Macaca mulatta: one gene and its partners. The protein of the gene in region 4 interacts with the protein of the main gene of each other region in a pairwise test. Links are inferred from orthologs where the notes say so. Each region holds a gene or a part of one and is shown on either strand. Other genes may lie near its edges.

Evidence for each region. The genes of interacting proteins can lie anywhere in the genome.
Region 1: the proteins of RGS19 (region 4) and GNAI2 interact in a two-hybrid assay, tested with the Homo sapiens proteins (2 studies listed by BioGRID and IntAct). The link is inferred for Macaca mulatta from reciprocal best matches to the Homo sapiens genes RGS19 and GNAI2.
Region 2: the proteins of RGS19 (region 4) and GNAZ interact in a two-hybrid assay, tested with the Homo sapiens proteins (2 studies listed by BioGRID). The link is inferred for Macaca mulatta from reciprocal best matches to the Homo sapiens genes RGS19 and GNAZ.
Region 3: the proteins of RGS19 (region 4) and GNAI1 interact in a two-hybrid assay, tested with the Homo sapiens proteins (2 studies listed by BioGRID). The link is inferred for Macaca mulatta from reciprocal best matches to the Homo sapiens genes RGS19 and GNAI1.

Annotation. Positions count from the first base shown.
Region 1 is NC_133407.1:113,710,040-113,714,032, reverse strand, and holds the start of GNAI2 (guanine nucleotide-binding protein G(i) subunit alpha-2), read right to left. Parts: upstream 2,801-3,993; 5' UTR 2,671-2,800; coding exon 2,553-2,670; exon of another isoform or gene 2,232-2,552; intron 1-2,231. UniProt on the Homo sapiens protein: Guanine nucleotide-binding proteins (G proteins) are involved as modulators or transducers in various transmembrane signaling systems.
Region 2 is NC_133415.1:29,524,276-29,528,448, forward strand, and holds the start of GNAZ (guanine nucleotide-binding protein G(z) subunit alpha), read right to left. Parts: upstream 2,801-4,173; 5' UTR 2,721-2,800; exon of another isoform or gene 2,536-2,720; intron 483-2,535; exon of another isoform or gene 362-482; intron 1-361. UniProt on the Homo sapiens protein: Guanine nucleotide-binding proteins (G proteins) are involved as modulators or transducers in various transmembrane signaling systems.
Region 3 is NC_133408.1:139,347,589-139,351,622, forward strand, and holds the start of GNAI1 (guanine nucleotide-binding protein G(i) subunit alpha-1), read right to left. Parts: upstream 2,801-4,034; 5' UTR 2,465-2,800; coding exon 2,347-2,464; intron 2,209-2,346; exon of another isoform or gene 1,549-2,208; intron 1-1,548. UniProt on the Homo sapiens protein: Guanine nucleotide-binding proteins (G proteins) function as transducers downstream of G protein-coupled receptors (GPCRs) in numerous signaling cascades.
Region 4 is NC_133415.1:116,963,748-116,967,050, reverse strand, and holds the end of RGS19 (regulator of G-protein signaling 19), read left to right. Parts: coding exon 1-54; intron 55-1,913; coding exon 1,914-1,988; intron 1,989-2,075; coding exon 2,076-2,310; intron 2,311-2,409; coding exon 2,410-2,601; 3' UTR 2,602-2,803; downstream 2,804-3,303. UniProt on the Homo sapiens protein: Inhibits signal transduction by increasing the GTPase activity of G protein alpha subunits thereby driving them into their inactive GDP-bound form. Binds to G-alpha subfamily 1 members, with the order G(i)a3 > G(i)a1 > G(o)a >> G(z)a/G(i)a2.

The DNA.
Region 1 (3,993 bases), on a different chromosome or scaffold from region 4:
GTGTACCACATCAGCCTCTACCCTGGTGACAAGAACTGTGCCCGCCTGCTGGCAGAGCTACCCAGGATGGAGGGAGGCGATGTGCAGGCAGGGCAGCAGGCGTGGTTCTGGCTGGGAGGGAAGGCTGGCAGTTGCCCAACCTGAGTCCCGTTGCCTGGACAAAGTCTCCCGCTACATGGGACAGGCGCCCAGAACTCTGAACTTGCCACAGCTGGGCTCCCATCACCACCTTGCACCTGAATGGGAAAGGCATGGCTCAAGCCAGGATCCCTCCCCAGGCAGCCATGGCAGATTGGGTCGTCAATATCGGGCAGAGCTTAGTCAGAGCCCTTTGCAGCACACTGCAGGGTCTTAACTCCCAACCCACATCCCCAACAAGAACCACCAGGAGGCTCTTGTTCTCCCCACCCTGAGCTGGGATACTCCTTTGGCCCAAACCCAGGAAGCCCATTTCACAGGGTAAGCAAAGGCCAGAAGGCCAGGACCCCAGGGTGAACTCCCCAGGCTAGAAAGTGCTAAGCCAGACCCTGCCTCCCTGGCTGCTGCCAGCCCAGTGTGGGAGGACTTGCCGGGTCTCACTTGACTTAGCCCAAAAGCTGAGCTGGGCTCCAAGGAGCAAGTCTGGTGGGATCGGGGACCCTTCTAGTGTCGGGACACAAAACTAGCCAGAAGCCCTACGTTCCCCCAGCTCTATGGTCCAGTCTTGCATTTCCTCAGTCACCACAGTAGCTGCAATCAGCCTAGGGAGAGGCTGGCTAGAGACTCCTGGCTGGGCACTGGGAGGCAGCGGTACCGGAAGTGCCCTCCCCAGGCCCATCGGGCAGCAGCAGCAGTAGCAGCGATGGGCATTCCGCCGCGTCGACACCCACTCACTGCCGCTGCCGCACTCACAGCAGAGACAGGAAGAGGCAAGCGCCCAACGCAAAGCAGCCCAGGAGGCTGGGCCGCCGCCCCTTCCCGCCCCTTCTCTTCCTCCCTGAGGCAGCAGCGAAGCGGATGCCATTTTGAAACCTCCGAGGCTGTGCCCCGGAGGCTAGGTCCGCAGGGACAGTCAACAGATGGGCCCATAATGAACATACATGCTGTTCCTCGGCCACAGGCCCAGCACGAAAAGCCTTGCTTTTCACAGCCTGGGAGCCCCATGACAGTTCTGAAGCTGAGGGGCCACACCCCCCCAGGCAGTACTCAGCCTACAACGGTGCTGTGCTGTTGCAAGGGCCTCCCTCCCCCGACTCTAAAACCCCCAAATCAAAATCAGACTGCCACTGGGCACCACCCCTACTTCCAGTGGGAGGTTGGATGGGGACAGCCAGTAGGCCCACTGTCTTTGCAAAAGGCCAGCTGGGATGCTCAGAAGCACCCTGGCCCACCCCTAGCTGGCCCCTCAACTCCTCATTCAGCTAGTCCACCATCCCCCTTCACAGGGTCCCAAGATCCAACAAGCCCCCGAACTCTCAGTGGCTACATCCCAGGCCTTGCAGCCCAGAAGGGGTGTGGGCAGCCCAGCACCTACTAGCAGATCTCTTGGGCTCACCCGCAGGGGCAGCAATATGTCGGCTATCTCACCACTTCCACTTCCCCCCACCCCTCTAGCAGCCACCATCTTTCCTGGCCTTGGAGGCGACCACAACCCTAACTCCTCCACACTCTCTCCTACTTCCCAGACTGGCCTTCGAAACTGGAAAACATAGAGCCCGCAGAGCCTCCCTGGGAAGCCTGAGGCCTGGCCCCCTCCCACAGCTTGACCAGTGGAGCCTCAGTCCAGCCCCGTGGGGGTTCTTCGTAAGGCAGCCTAGGCCCTCTCCAATCCGGGGCTCCCTCATCCTAGCCCAGCCCACTTGGTGCAGGAGAGGTGGAAGGATTGGGGAAGGCCAGAGTGTAAGAGGACTTAGTGGAGGATCAGCAGAAGGTTTCGGGAGTGATGCTTGCAGAGAAGGATCTGGAGGGCAGGAAGCAGGGAGCAGGGCTCGCTGAAGGGGTTCCAGTTGGAGAGCGGGCTCAAGAGCAGTTTCCCATTCCAGAGGTTCCTTGGGTCAGAACGCACAGGTGGAAGACACAGATTCCAGACTGGGGATGGGGCACAGAGGGAGAAGGAGGGAGTGGGTAGGGGGCCTGGCAGGGGCTCCGCGGGATGCTCATGCCCAACAGGAATAAAAGGCGCAGATGAGGAAAACAAGTGGAGCCTGAGGGTTGGGGAACAAGTGGCGGGCATCCTGGGGGTTTGGGTAAAGTGTAAGGAAGGATGGCGGGGTCTCTGAAGTTCTGTGAAGCTGGTTAGTAAGGGGGGATGGCCAAGCAGGGCACTGGACCGCGGGTGTTGGGGCACTGTTGGCTGGATTTGGAGGTCTGGGATGAGATAGGGATCTGGTCTAGAGTCTGGGCAGGATCGAAGGTCTAGCCCAACCTAGAGTTTTCAACCCTGGTCCTGGCCCAGGTGTGGGGTCCCAGACAGCCCGAGTCTGGGAGTTCGAAGCCCTAGTATGAGAGGTCAAAGTCCTTGTCTGGGGATTCGAGCTGGGAATTAAGGATCCCAGTGCGGGACGCGGCCTCACCCAACAGCAGCAACTTCACCTCCCGCGCCGCCTTCTCTCCGTCCTCCCGCAGGTTCTTGTCGATCATCTTAGAGCGCTCGGCCGCCGCCTTGTCCTCGGCGCTCACTGTGCAGCCCATCCCGCCGTCCGCCGGCCCGGCCGCCGCCCGGCCCCCACACGGCCCACGGCCCGGCTCGGCCCCGCCCGGCCCCGCCCGACCCGCTCCGCTCCCACTACCAGCCCTCTGCGGGAAGCTCTCGGGTCGGCAGTTCAGAGCGTCTGCAGGAGGCGCCTTCCCGACCGCCGCGCACCGACGGCGGGGCGGGCCGGGGGTGGGGCCTGGGCTAACCAAGCCCGGGACTGGGCCGGGGCGGGTCTGGAGGCGGGGCCAGAGGAGATTCGAGGCTGGTGATTGGCTTGAGGGCGGGGCGAAGGGGGAATGAGGCGCAGCCCAGGCTCGGGCCTCGGCTGCAGGCGTGGCCACGCGGAGCAAAGGCAATAGGGGTGGATCCAAACCCAGGGACCCGGCACTGGGCGGGTTGCAGGCGGGGCCGGGCTGTGATTGGGTGCGGAGCGCCGGGAGCTCAGTTGCTGGACAGCCGGGAGGGCGGATCTGTTAGCCCGAGGGTGGGGATCCGGTGCCCTCGAGGACAGAGCAGGAACCAGCGCTCTGAGCTTCTGCGAGTTGGGCGAGTTAGGTGGAGGAGGCGTGTCTTTGTCATTTGTTAAAGTTAATGAGTCCAATAAACTTGTTTTGGAATCTACAGAACTCGGGAGCCTTTCTGGACTGCGGTTTTCTTTGTCTTAAGGCGGTAAACCGCCTTCTCCCTCTGGGTTGCAGCAAATCGAAAAAGAAAAAACAAAGGCCGGGCCCAGGGACTCACGCCAGTAATCCCAGCACTTTTGGAGGCCGAGGCGAGCGGATCACTTGAGATCAGGAGTTCGAGACCAGCCTGGCCAACATGGTGAAACCCCGTCTCTACTAAAAATACAAAAATTAGCTGGGCGTGGTGGTGGGCGCCTGTAATCCCAGCTACTCAGGAGGCTGAGGCAAGAGAACTGCTTCAACCCGGGAGGCAGAGGTTGCAGTGAGCCGAGATCACGCCATTCATTGCACACCAGCTTGGGCGACAGAGCAAAACTCCATCTAAAAAGAAAAAAAGCCGGGCGCGGTGGCTCAAGCCTGTAATCCCAGCACTTTGGGAGGCCGAGACGGGCGGATCACGAGGTCAGAAGATCGAGACCATCCTGGCTAACATGATGAAACCCCGTCTCCACTAAAAATACAAAAAACTAGCCGGGCGAGGTGGCGGGCGCCTGTAGTCCCAGCTACTCGGGAGGCTGAGGCAGGAGAATGGTGTGAACCCGGGAGGCAGAGCTTGCAGTGAGCTGAGATCCGGCCACTGCACTCCAGCCTGGGCGACAGAGCAAGACTCCGTCTCAAAAAAAAAAAAAAAATGGG
Region 2 (4,173 bases), about 87 Mb from region 4:
TGTGCTCCTTCCAGCCAAGCACAGTGCTCACAGGCACCCAGAGGCTTGGCTACCCCAGGTTTCCTTCCTGGAGGGTTCGGGAGAGCAGAGTGCTGACCTGCCTCCTCCAGTGCGCCCGTGCATCTGCCATGGTCAGCAGCAGTGAGAGTGCCTTTGCCGCCACACAATTAAGTCTTCTGAGGCTAGCGTGGGACAGACAGCACAGGGCTGCCTTCCCTGCCTCCAGAGGAGGAAGCTGCACACATGTGTTCACACACAAGATGACTAAATTCAGCATTCCTAAATTGCTATATTCAGCATTCCTGTCCTACTGGCCTCTCTGCGGGGGCCCTGGGCAGCCCTGTCAAGTCCATCCAGTTACCTGCAAATTCCTGGAATTGTTCTAGAAGCTCCTGAGGTCCAGACTGAGCCCCACCCACACTCCTGCATCGGGTTCCAGCCACTCTGGTGGGGCCTCCAGGTCTCTGAGGTTCCTCCTGAGACTAGAAAACAAAAGGCCTGAGAGGCTGGGGACAGAGGGAAGAATCCATTCCTGGTGTCCCAAACCCACAGTTGCATGCCAGGTCCCTGCAACTGTCCAGGCGACAGGCACAGAGCGCAGCAGCTCACCCTGCTCAGCACAGACTGCACACCCCACGAGGGCAGGCCCTGTTCTCGCTGCATCAACCTGGGCCTTGGCCAAAGCCAAGTGTGTGTTGGGTGGGGAGGGCAGGAACACCACAAAGATGAGTAACAAACAGTTCCTTCAGAGGGAGAGCAAAACATCCCCAGAAATGAGGGGGCTGACCTAGGGCAGAAAGTGACACCAGCTTCCGAGGGGGAGAAATTATGCCTTATTCACCTCCTGTCTCAGAAAATCAACGTCTGTTAGAGGAACACACAGGAAGACTTTTAAACCAGATGCCAGCATCTTCTCATTCCTAGAGAATGAGGCTTGCTTAAGGCGCATATTTTATCCAAGCACCGCCAGGCCATCCACACCCCCACTGCACCCCCTAGATGGATGCTCCCAGGCTGCCACGATTACTGCTCTCAAACATCCACATCCCAGAGGCACAGAGTCACCAGCTAAGCATCATCCCCAAAACAGGCAACTCAATCCTAACAAGGGGGTTGCCTGGGTGGTTACCCGGTGCCCTGGCTGTGCCCAAGGGAGAAGTGCCTGGAAGCACAGACTCAGACTGCAAGGAGCCTTCCCCAGTCTTTTAAGCTAGCCCTTCTCCAGGCCCACCCCAGCTCATGGGGTCATGGAACTGCTTCGCTTTTACAGATGAGGAAGCTGTGGTTTCCACCACAGCCACAGCTAACCAGCAGCGAGGTCATTCCACTTCCAAGCTCCCTCAGCTCCGTGCAGCCCCCACCCGCCTTTCCCGCCATACCTCCCACTCCTCCCCAGGCTTGCCGGTGCTCCCATTAGACCTAACCGCCCAAGTGCCTTGGTCCATTCTCTCCTCTCTGCCCACAATGCCCAGCTTAGCTGTGCCCATGTCCTTCAAGCTCCAGTTCAAATGTCATGTTGTCCACGGGCTCACCTGACCCCCCAGCGCAGGGCACCACTCTAAGGTCCCTACCAAGGCCCCTGCACCTGCACTCAGGCTGGGTTGGCCGAGTAGAGACGTTTTCCCCTATGGGGTGGAGAATCAGTTCTGGGAGGGGAGGCCCAGTCCACTCCCACCCGGTGCACCCCAGCACCAGGCCCTCGGGGAGTGAGCACTCAGTAAATATTTGCTTAATTGAATTTGGCCAAGGAGCCTTCTCCAGAGAGCTCAATCCCCAGGGCAGGGAAATCACTTGGGCAGAAAGGAGCCGGTCAGGGGCTGAGCTGTCTCCCCAAGCAAGACAGACCTCTCTACCAGGCGGGTCCCTCCACCTCAACACGGACTCCGTGGAACACTGGTCTTGCTTGGCATCGTCCTCTTGTCTCAGTAACAGGAGCCCCAATTCTCGGCCTAGGCCGAATCCTGCCATCATCACCCAGAAAGGCTCAGCACCGCCCTAAAGGCAGAGCCCCCTCGGATCGCCCGCAGGATACGGAGCGCCTGCCCTGAGGCCCTCACTCCCCTCCCCCAAACACCCCCACCGCCTTTTAAGGCAAAAAATATTGAGCCGGGAACGTATTACAATCGCAGCAGGTCGATACTCATCTCTTGCTCTAAATGCCTGTGAGGAACCTGCTCGCTTCAAGAGCAGTGAGTGACCGAGAACTACTAGCCGTCCGTCTCCGGGCCCAGGTCCTCGGGCCCAGGCCTCTGGGGCCCTTTCCTTGGTTTCGGGAAAGGCCCTGCATCAGCTCCGGCCGCCCCTCCCTGATCCCCCTCTAGGGAGACCCGCCTCAGCGCCGCTCCCGCAGCTCGCCTTGCCCGCCCAGGCTCCGCACCAGCCGCTGCTCGGGGGCGCCCGGCAGCCCCGCGCGGCATCCCCGGCGCCCTCTGTCCATCGTCCCGGGTCCGCAGCCGCCCCCTCCCGCGGGGTCATGGGCTTGGCGGCGCCTCCCTCCCCCGGCACCTGCCCGACCAGAGGCCGCCCCCTGCCCACCTCGCAGACGTCCCCGCCCTTGGTGTCCCCCACCCCTGACGGGCATCCCTGACGCTGCGTCCTGGCGGATTCGGGGCACAAAGGCCCGGGAGGAGTACCAAGTGAGGGCAAGGTGGACGCCCCGGTCATGCTCCCGACCCCCGAGGCTCAGCGGCGCGCGCCCGGCCGCGGGTCGGCTCACTCACCTCCGGGCCGCGGCACAGAGCATCTGCTGAGCTGCTCCTGGCAGGGCGGGGCGGGGCGGGGCGGCGAGCGCGGGGCCGCGGCGCCCTCGTTCCGTACGACGCGGGCGGCGGCGCCCACGCGGGGACGTGACCGGACCGCGGGCGGCGCACACGCTCCGGCCGGCCTGGCTCCCTCCGCCCGCCCTCCCGCGCCGCCCGCCGCCCGCCCGCTGGTCCGCCCGCCCCGCGCCGAGCCGCCGCCGGCAGGGGGCGGAGCCGCGAGCGCAGCCCGTTGCCAGGCCAACCGCGGGCGGGGGGTGCCGCGCGCCCGCCGGGCACCACGCGCCGGGCACCTCCGCCCCGCCACGAGCTCCGACCCTCTGTCCATTGGGCACAAGCAGCTGACGGACGGGCCAACAGTCCAATGGGGACGGACAGGGGCGGGGTCGCGACTCCGCGCGCGCCGCGGTCCCGCACGCGCTCCCCGCGCCGGCGTCCCAGTGACTCCGCTGCGCTGAGGCCTGGTAGCCGAGCCCGAGGGGCTACTTCTGGCAGCCCGGGAAAACGAGCCTGAGCCCAGTCATGGCCCTGGCCCTCTTAACTGCAGCCAGTCGTCCCGGCTCACCTTCTCTCCACTCGGGTTCAAACCCAGCTCGGCCTCTTGTGAGCTCTGCGTCCTTGGGCAACCGACTGACCTCTTCCAGCCTTTCTGTTTGCAAAGTGGGGCTAGTGGCACCTGCTTTCCTGGATTGTCTCACCAATCCTTCAGAACGTGTGAAAGGCCTATGCAAACCCTAACGATTTACAACGGTGAGGTTTGTGCCGCGATGGGAGGGGGCATTAGTCATCTCTGCTGCTCCAGTGTGTAGGGGCTCTTTGGCGTCCCTGGCAATCCTGGCACACGGAAAGGTGGCCTTGGGAGGGAAGGAAGGGAGAAGGACCAAGGAGCTGGCCCCCAGCCCAGAAAAAAGTGAGGGAGCCAGTTCAGTTAAGGCCATTGGCGCTGTTGGGAAGCTCGTGGAAAGCATCAGACCCTCAGCAGAATGCAGCTGAACCCAGGCTGCAAAATTCTGCTTTCAATTTCAAAGCCTGTCTGTGGACCTCAGGGCCAGGAGCCCCCTCACTTCCATGCTTAAAAGACTCTCAAGCCAGAGGGCCAAGACGTGAATGCTGCTCTCTGTCTTCTCCATCTTTGTAACCTGAAGCTTTGTGTATCCTAGAGCATCCCTGGCAAAGTGCAGATGCCTTCCCAGCTAACACCTTCCTTATCACCTTACACCTTTGTGGTCAAATTATGTGGATCGTGCCATTCTTTGAGCAGCAGCCCTGGACCTGACCATGGCAGAGGTCAATAGAGTGGTCTCTCCATCGTAGCTCTGTGGTGGGGAGGCAGGGGCTACTGTGCCTGGCTTTGCCAGCCGGACACTATGGCATCTCAGCATCATCCCGTAACCTCCCTGGGAATGTTTCCTCT
Region 3 (4,034 bases), on a different chromosome or scaffold from region 4:
CTAATGGTGCTAGTACTGGTTTAACGAAATAAGAATTCTGGTCAGGCGAGGTGGCTCACGCCTGTAATCCCAGGACTTTGGGAGGCCGAGGCGGGCGGATCACCTGAGGTCAGGAGTTCGAGACAAGCCTGGCCAACATGGGGAAACCCGGTCTCTACTAAAAACACAAAATTAGCCAGGCATGGTGGCACGCACCCGTAGTTCCAGCTACTCCGGAGGCTGAGGCAGGAGAATGGCTCGAACCAGGAGGCGAAGGTTGCTGTGAGCCGAGATCGGGCCACTGCACTCCAGCCTGGGCGACAGAGCAAGACTCCGTCTCAAAAAAACAAACAAAAACAAAACAGAAATAAGAATTCCATAATTTCTTCTGAAAATAAGGCCTCTGCTACATCTCTCTCCAAACTCACTATGATGACTGTAAAGATTCACCTTCTGATTCTATATTATACATTCAATTATATTTAAGTGTTAATCTAGAACAGTGGTCCTTAACTAAGGCTGTATATTGCCCCCAGAGGACTTCTAGCAATATGTGGAAACGCTTTTGGAGCTCATAGGTTGGGGGACTGCTACTACCATCTAATGAGTGGAGGCCAAAGATGCTGCTGAACATCCTACAATGCACAAAAACAACCTGCACAACAAAGAATTTCCCGGCCCCAAATGCCAACCGTGCTAAGGTTAAGACACACTGATCTCTTCTGAACACAAGCAAAAGCCTCCTCCTGGGACCTTTATTCTAGTCCATCCCTAACAGTCACCTAATTAAAGGACAAAACACCACGACCAGATGATTCATTTCTCAATTGCTTTAAACATGGTGGATGGCTGGCTCAAACTAAGAGTCACACAAAAATACACTGAAACAACATATCACACCAGGAGAGCAAAAACTGCAAGAAAAAAACTTTTTAATCCTTTCATTTCATATCTATCTCACATTCAATTCACAAGAGAAGCAGATACACTAACCTCCTCAAAACACAGTATTTCTTAATAATGTAAAAACTTAGGCAACAGCATTAACTGAGAAAGACTTATGTTGGGGGCGAGAGGGTGAAAAAAGCCACGCAGGTCTTTAAAATGCAAAGTTATTTCACAGTTTACTTGCAAAATGACTCAGATCATTATTACTTTTAGTCATGCCAACTTTGCTGCTCCCAAGCCTACTAGTAATGGAGAAAAAAAAACCACCATTTTTTCTGCAGTCATTAAACCAATGAAACAGAAGCTTACTGAAAACAGGTTTGTGCAACATTTCTTTTTTATTATAACTGGTATAAAAATAAAAGCAGTCCTTGGAAATGCAAATGAAGATTCTGAGAAATTTTTCATCTAAATACCTAGAGTGTGAGAAGAAAACATGCAAACAAAAGAAAACCCTAACTCACAAATCTTAACCTGTGACTATTTTCCTACTGCTTCCCTCAATGAAAACCCTGGTTTACTCTTTTTTATTTTCTTCCCTGTCAAACATTTGGAAAAGACCTCCACGTAGCGTTTCACGAACAGAACAGTGCGAAGAACAAATAAAAGCCTTGCGTGTACCTGGCAAATCTCATTCATCAGAAACGGTGGCAGCGGAGGGAGAACCGTGTTGTCTGGCGTGACCCTCTCGCTCCTTTCACAGCAGTTTTCACCACTCGAGTCTTGCCTACTACTAAAGCAAAGCTTCCCAACCCCACTTGGGTGGCTTCCATGCCCCTACAGCAAGAAAAATCAAGCATCCAGCGCAGCCTTTCCCCAGCGCAGGCGGAATGTAATCGATGCTCCTTGACCACTTAAGGAGTCGCCATAGGAAGTTAACAGGAAAGACATTTCAGCCCCATCTCAGAGACCCCACAAAAGGTGCACTGATTTCACCAAACGTGGCACTCTGGGCATGAGAAAACCACAGTCGAAACACAACCCACACCTCACACGAAGAAGGGTTTTCCGGGAGGGGGCTGGGGACGGCGTGGGGGGGTGGTTATTTTCTAGCCACGAATGCCCCTTCGTCTTTGTAAGGCTGAGCTAAACTTCAAAGCAAAGGGTTTCCACAGGACCCGCCGCCTCGGACTCGCGCCTGGGCTCTTTGCTGGGTCGCCGAAGGCATCCGAGAGAAGTGACGCGCCCGCCCCACCACGGGGAGTCCTCGCCCGCCGGGGCGGAGGGAGGCCGGGCACCCGGAGAGGAGGACCCGCCTCGGCTGCGCACCGCCTGACCTAGCTCCCGCTCGGAAGCCTCCTCGGGCGCTTCCTCCCCTTCCCTCCGGGTTTCCAAACGCCGAGGGCCGCGCAGCGGTCACCGCGGAGCGCCGCGCCCGGTCCCCCGCCGACCCGGGGTCCCCGACCCGGCCGCCCTTACCAAGCAGCAGCAGCTTGACCTCGCGCGCCGCCTTCTCGCCGTCCTCGCGGAGGTTGCGGTCGATCATCTTACTCCGCTCCACCGCCGCCTTGTCCTCGGCGCTCAGCGTGCAGCCCATGTTGCCGAGAGCGAGAGCCTGCCGCCGCTCCCTCCGCGCCCGAGTGCGGGCTCCAAGCACAGGGGAATCCTTTCTCTCTCTGAGCGGGCGTTCGAACGCCTCCCGACGGGGGCCACGCCACCCCCACCACTTCCTAAGCGGAGTCGAGAGAGACGCCGTCCGCAGAGGGGCAGACAGCAACGCGCGGCTGTTCCTCACGGCCAGGCTCTGCTTCCCGGTGCGGCTCAGCGCCCCCAAGTCTCCGGTTTGGGGTTTTGAAGCTCTGGGTACAGTGACTGCTGCCCTCCCGCCGGTGGCCGCGCCGCAGCCTCGCCAAGCCCAGCCGAGCTCGGCCTCCGCGCGCCGCCGCGGCCCCGCCCCTCCTGCCACCCCGCGACCACTCCCAGAGCGCGCGCCCGCGCACGTGCCCTTGGACAGCGCCCACTCGGAGGGGCGCGCGCGCCCCCCGGCTCCCTACCGCGGCGCCGCGACACCCCCGAGGGCCCGGCGCCCCCTGGCAGCGTCCCCGGAGCACAACACTGACCCGCGGGCCTGTGGCCTTCTGCCCTGGGCGGGAGTGGGGTAATTTCTTTCCGTTTACTCACACCAACGGAGCTGTGCGTACCTGCCCTTTCGGGTAGGGGTGGGAGAGCTGCCAAAGTTGCCGAAAAAAGCCAGTTCTGGGCGTTTGAGCATGCCCAGCGCCGGCAGCCACACAAGGCTTTTCAAAATGCAAATCCCTGTCGGCTGGCTTTCAGGGCCGTGGGAAACAGGGAGCTGGGGAAGGAATGGAGCCTGGTGAAACCAGAGATGGACACAGTGGAGAACAGGAAAGTCGGGGGAGGAGACTAGGAAAGGGCAACAAGGTCAACTTTCTTCCTACCTTTTGCTTCTCTTTCCTTCTTCCTATCCCTCCCTCCTTCCTTCCATTCTCAGGTTTTTCACAAGAACTCATTTTGAAGGATTTCCTTGTAACCTAAAAAAATGGGAGACAAATAATCAAAAAGTACTTTTAAATGATAAGAGCAATAAAATACACCCACAACAAGCCAATCTCCACATCATAGCAGATCTCCTCTAGAGCAGCACATAAGCTTCCATGCCAAATTTTGAGCCAATATTTATTACCGTGTTTGTAACTCCTGTACCACTGGGCATGTCGTTTTTACAGGCCTTAGCTTCTTTCCCCATAAAATGAGGAGTGCATTTATGGGGCTATGGCCCCATCCTTCCAGCTGTAACTGATCCGCCCGAGATAAGTTCCTGTGGCCTGCAGGAGGCATTACTACTCAGCACCCAATGAATGAGCAGAGGCTTAAGATCTCATCTCTCCCTGTCAATTGCACTACACCTTTCCCCTACAGATATCACAGGAAGCGTTAACTGATTAGAAAATGGGACTGGTAGCAAGGAAAAACATCTTCCTTGATGTATTAAAAATTGGGAAATGCTCCCTGGTTTTCATCTGGAAATCTTATTATCTAAAAATCATTTGAGAAAACTGGGCTTGAGTTTTCCAAGGTGAGGCTGAACTGATGATACAAGCAGAATAGCTTTCGAGTAGGTCACTGAGACCACGCTTGTGAGCTAG
Region 4 (3,303 bases):
CCCCAGCCGTAACCCCTGCTGCCTATGCTGGTGCTGCTGCTGTAGCTGCTCCTGGTGAGTAGGGCCTGGGGTGCCCAGCTGGAGAGGGGCTGGAGGGCCTGGGGCCAAGCAGACCCAGGAGGGGACCCAGTGGTGGCTTCTGAGGAATCCCCGCAGGTAGGGTGCTCCTGCCACCTCGCGGCGTGTCCTGTCTGGGGTCTGTTGGGCCCTGGTGATGAGTGGCCGGTGCCTTGGGCCCAGGGGACTTATGTGTGGTTCTTGTACCTGTCTTGCCAAGGGTGTGTCGGTGTGCTGTGTACACGCATGTGCCCGTTCACACGGCATGTGCTTATCCATGCTGCTGTGAGCCAGCCCAGGCTGGGCCCTGGGGGCCTGCGATGGAGTAAGACAGGCACAGGCCGGGCGCGGTGGCTCACGCCTGTAATCCCAGCACTTTGGGAGGCTGAGGCGGGCGGATCATCTGAGGTCAGGAGTTCGAAACCAGCCTGACCAACATGGAGAAACCCCGTCTCTACTAAAAATACAAAATTAGCCGGGTGTGGTGACGCATGCCTGTAATCCCAGCTACTCAGGAGGCTGAGGCAGGAGAATGGCTTGAACCTGGGAGGTGGAGGTTGCAATGAGCCGAGATCACGCCATTGCATTCCAGCCTGGGCAATAAGAGCAAAACTCTGTCTCAAAATAAAAGAAAGAAAGAGAGAGAAAGAGAGGCACAGACCCCACAGACTGTGTGGGGTGGAGGGACGTTTGAGCAGAGACTCGAATAAGGCAACTGCTGGCCCTGGGGTGATAGCCAAGAGCTTCCCGGACAGCATGCGTCGGGGGAGAAGAGCACAGGGTGGTGGGGGGGTCTTTGGGCATCCCTGTGAGGGTGGGAGTGGGGCTCCCAGATGGTAACAGATTTCCTAGGAGGGTAGGGGAGCTGGTGCATGTTTTCATGCCTTCCGACCCTGGCCGATGAGAGGACAGCGCTTCTGGACCCAACGTGGGGTCAGCTGACCCATGGGCAAGCTGGGGGTGGCCAGGGGGCAGTCGGGAAAGGGGCTGGGAGGAGCCCAGGGGCCTAGTTCCGTCAGGACGTCTGGGTGCACGATGTCTGCCAGCCGTGCCCTGGAGAAAGATCAGCCGGCTATGGATTTGGGTCCAGCATTGACAGGGTACTAGGAGCCAAGGCAAAGAAGCAGTTTCCCTTGAGAGAACCAGGGATCAGGCTCCAGGACCTAACCAGTGTGGACACATGGGTTTGGGGCTTTCAGTGGTGTCAGCTGACGAGACACACTGCTGACATGCCAGACCTGCAGCGTGTGGCCCCATCAGTGGGACAGGGACAGGCCAAGAACAGGCCGAGGAGCAGGGTGGCCATGTTCCTAGGCACACTCTCATGGGTGTCCCTGTTCCCAGGCACATGACCCTTCTGGCATCCCAGGTGTTCAGGCATCTCCCAGCTCCTTGTGGCCCCTCAGCTTGCCCCAACCCATCTCCCCTAGGGGAGCAGAGGCAGAAGGGGAGGTGGCATACCTGCTTCTCAGCCTCATGTGGGGTGGGCATGGGTGGGTGGAGGAGGTTGCCCAGTGGGCCAGGGATGGGGAGGAGCACCAGGAGCCAAAGGGTCCCTCCTGGAGGGCCAGAGACTCACGGGCACTGGGTCAAGGTGCTGGGATGGAAGAGGGCTGAGTCCGTGGGCACTGTGGCAGGGACAGTAACCTGGACTGCAGATTCCGTGGAGAATTCGGGAACGACTGACAGGGAGCATGGACACCCTTTCCCAGGAGATTGTGGGAGGAGCTAGCTGCAGGGGCTGCCCTCCTACAGTGGGTACACATGTGTGTCAGATGCCTGCCCATGTGCTGAGGGCCTGTGTGGCCATGGAGGCGTGTGTGCCCACGGCAGTGCCGCTTCCTCTCTGCCACTAGGAACCAAGAGCGGCGGCGCGCGTGGCAGGCCTCCCGGGAGAGCAAGCTGCAGCCCCTCCCCAGCTGTGAAGTATGGTGAGTCCAGCCGGCTGGTGTGTGCGTGTTGGGGGGCCCCAGGCTGGGAGACTTGAGCCTGACGTAGCCTGGCCCCAATGCCCGCAGTGCCACGCCAAGTCCTGAGGAGGTGCAGAGCTGGGCCCAGTCTTTTGACAAGCTGATGCACAGCCCGGCGGGACGCAGCGTGTTCCGGGCGTTCCTGCGGACAGAGTACAGCGAGGAGAACATGCTCTTCTGGCTGGCCTGTGAGGAGCTGAAGGCCGAGGCCAACCAGCACGTGGTGGACGAGAAGGCGAGGCTCATCTACGAGGACTACGTGTCCATCCTGTCCCCCAAGGAGGTGCGCCGGACACCACAAGGGGCAGGGGGCCGCCTGCTCCGGGCACTAGGTGGGGAAGGCACCTCCCAAGCCCCCTGACCTCAGTGCCTTGTCCTACAGGTGAGCCTGGACTCCCGTGTGCGGGAGGGCATCAACAAGAAGATGCAGGAGCCGTCCGCACACACGTTTGACGACGCACAGCTGCAGATCTACACACTCATGCACCGGGACTCCTACCCACGCTTTCTCAGCTCTCCCACCTACCGTGCCCTGCTGCTGCAGGGGCCGTCACAGTCCTCCTCCGAGGCCTAGGCCGCCCCCAGCAGCACAGACCCCACCGCCTCCTATGGCCGACTCTGGGTTGCCTTCAGGTGTTGGCTGTCGGGGCACACACCTGCGGGCCCAGCCTGGCCGGCTGGGGTCCCCAGCCGTGGAGACGGTCCTAGACCCAGTGGGGAGTGCTGTGCCTCCTGGCTCTGCCCACCCGTGGCCAAGCAGGAACTCCAGGTGCAGGGTGGGCCAGAAGCCTTCTCATCGGCCCACAGCTGGCTGGCCCAGGGCTCCTGGTGGGGGCTCTTGCATGGTGAGAGTAGGGGCCCCCCCAGGAGCCATGCTGGACCCAGGAGCCTCGTTGGGGCCTCTTCCCCAGGCAGCTGACGGGCCCCGGACAAGCCTTGGTGGGGAGCAGAACCTCTGCATCATGTAGTTCTATGACATAAGGAGACCTCCTACTTGAGCTGTCTGTACCCCAGAATCAAACCCAGAACCTCAGAACCAGATGTAGGACCTCAGAATCCTGCACTCAAGGTGGCAGGACCCAATTTCTGTTTTATATGTTCATGAACTTTAAACCTGGAAACATATCCTTACTAGGTGTTTTATCAAAAAAAAAGTTTTCATATTTATCTCTATCCCTAACCCCCCAAAAATAGGATGTCTTATTATTGAAGATATTTTTAAAGCACAAGTCTCTACTCATTTTTGTCCAAGTGTGGGGAGAGACTGGAGAATGAG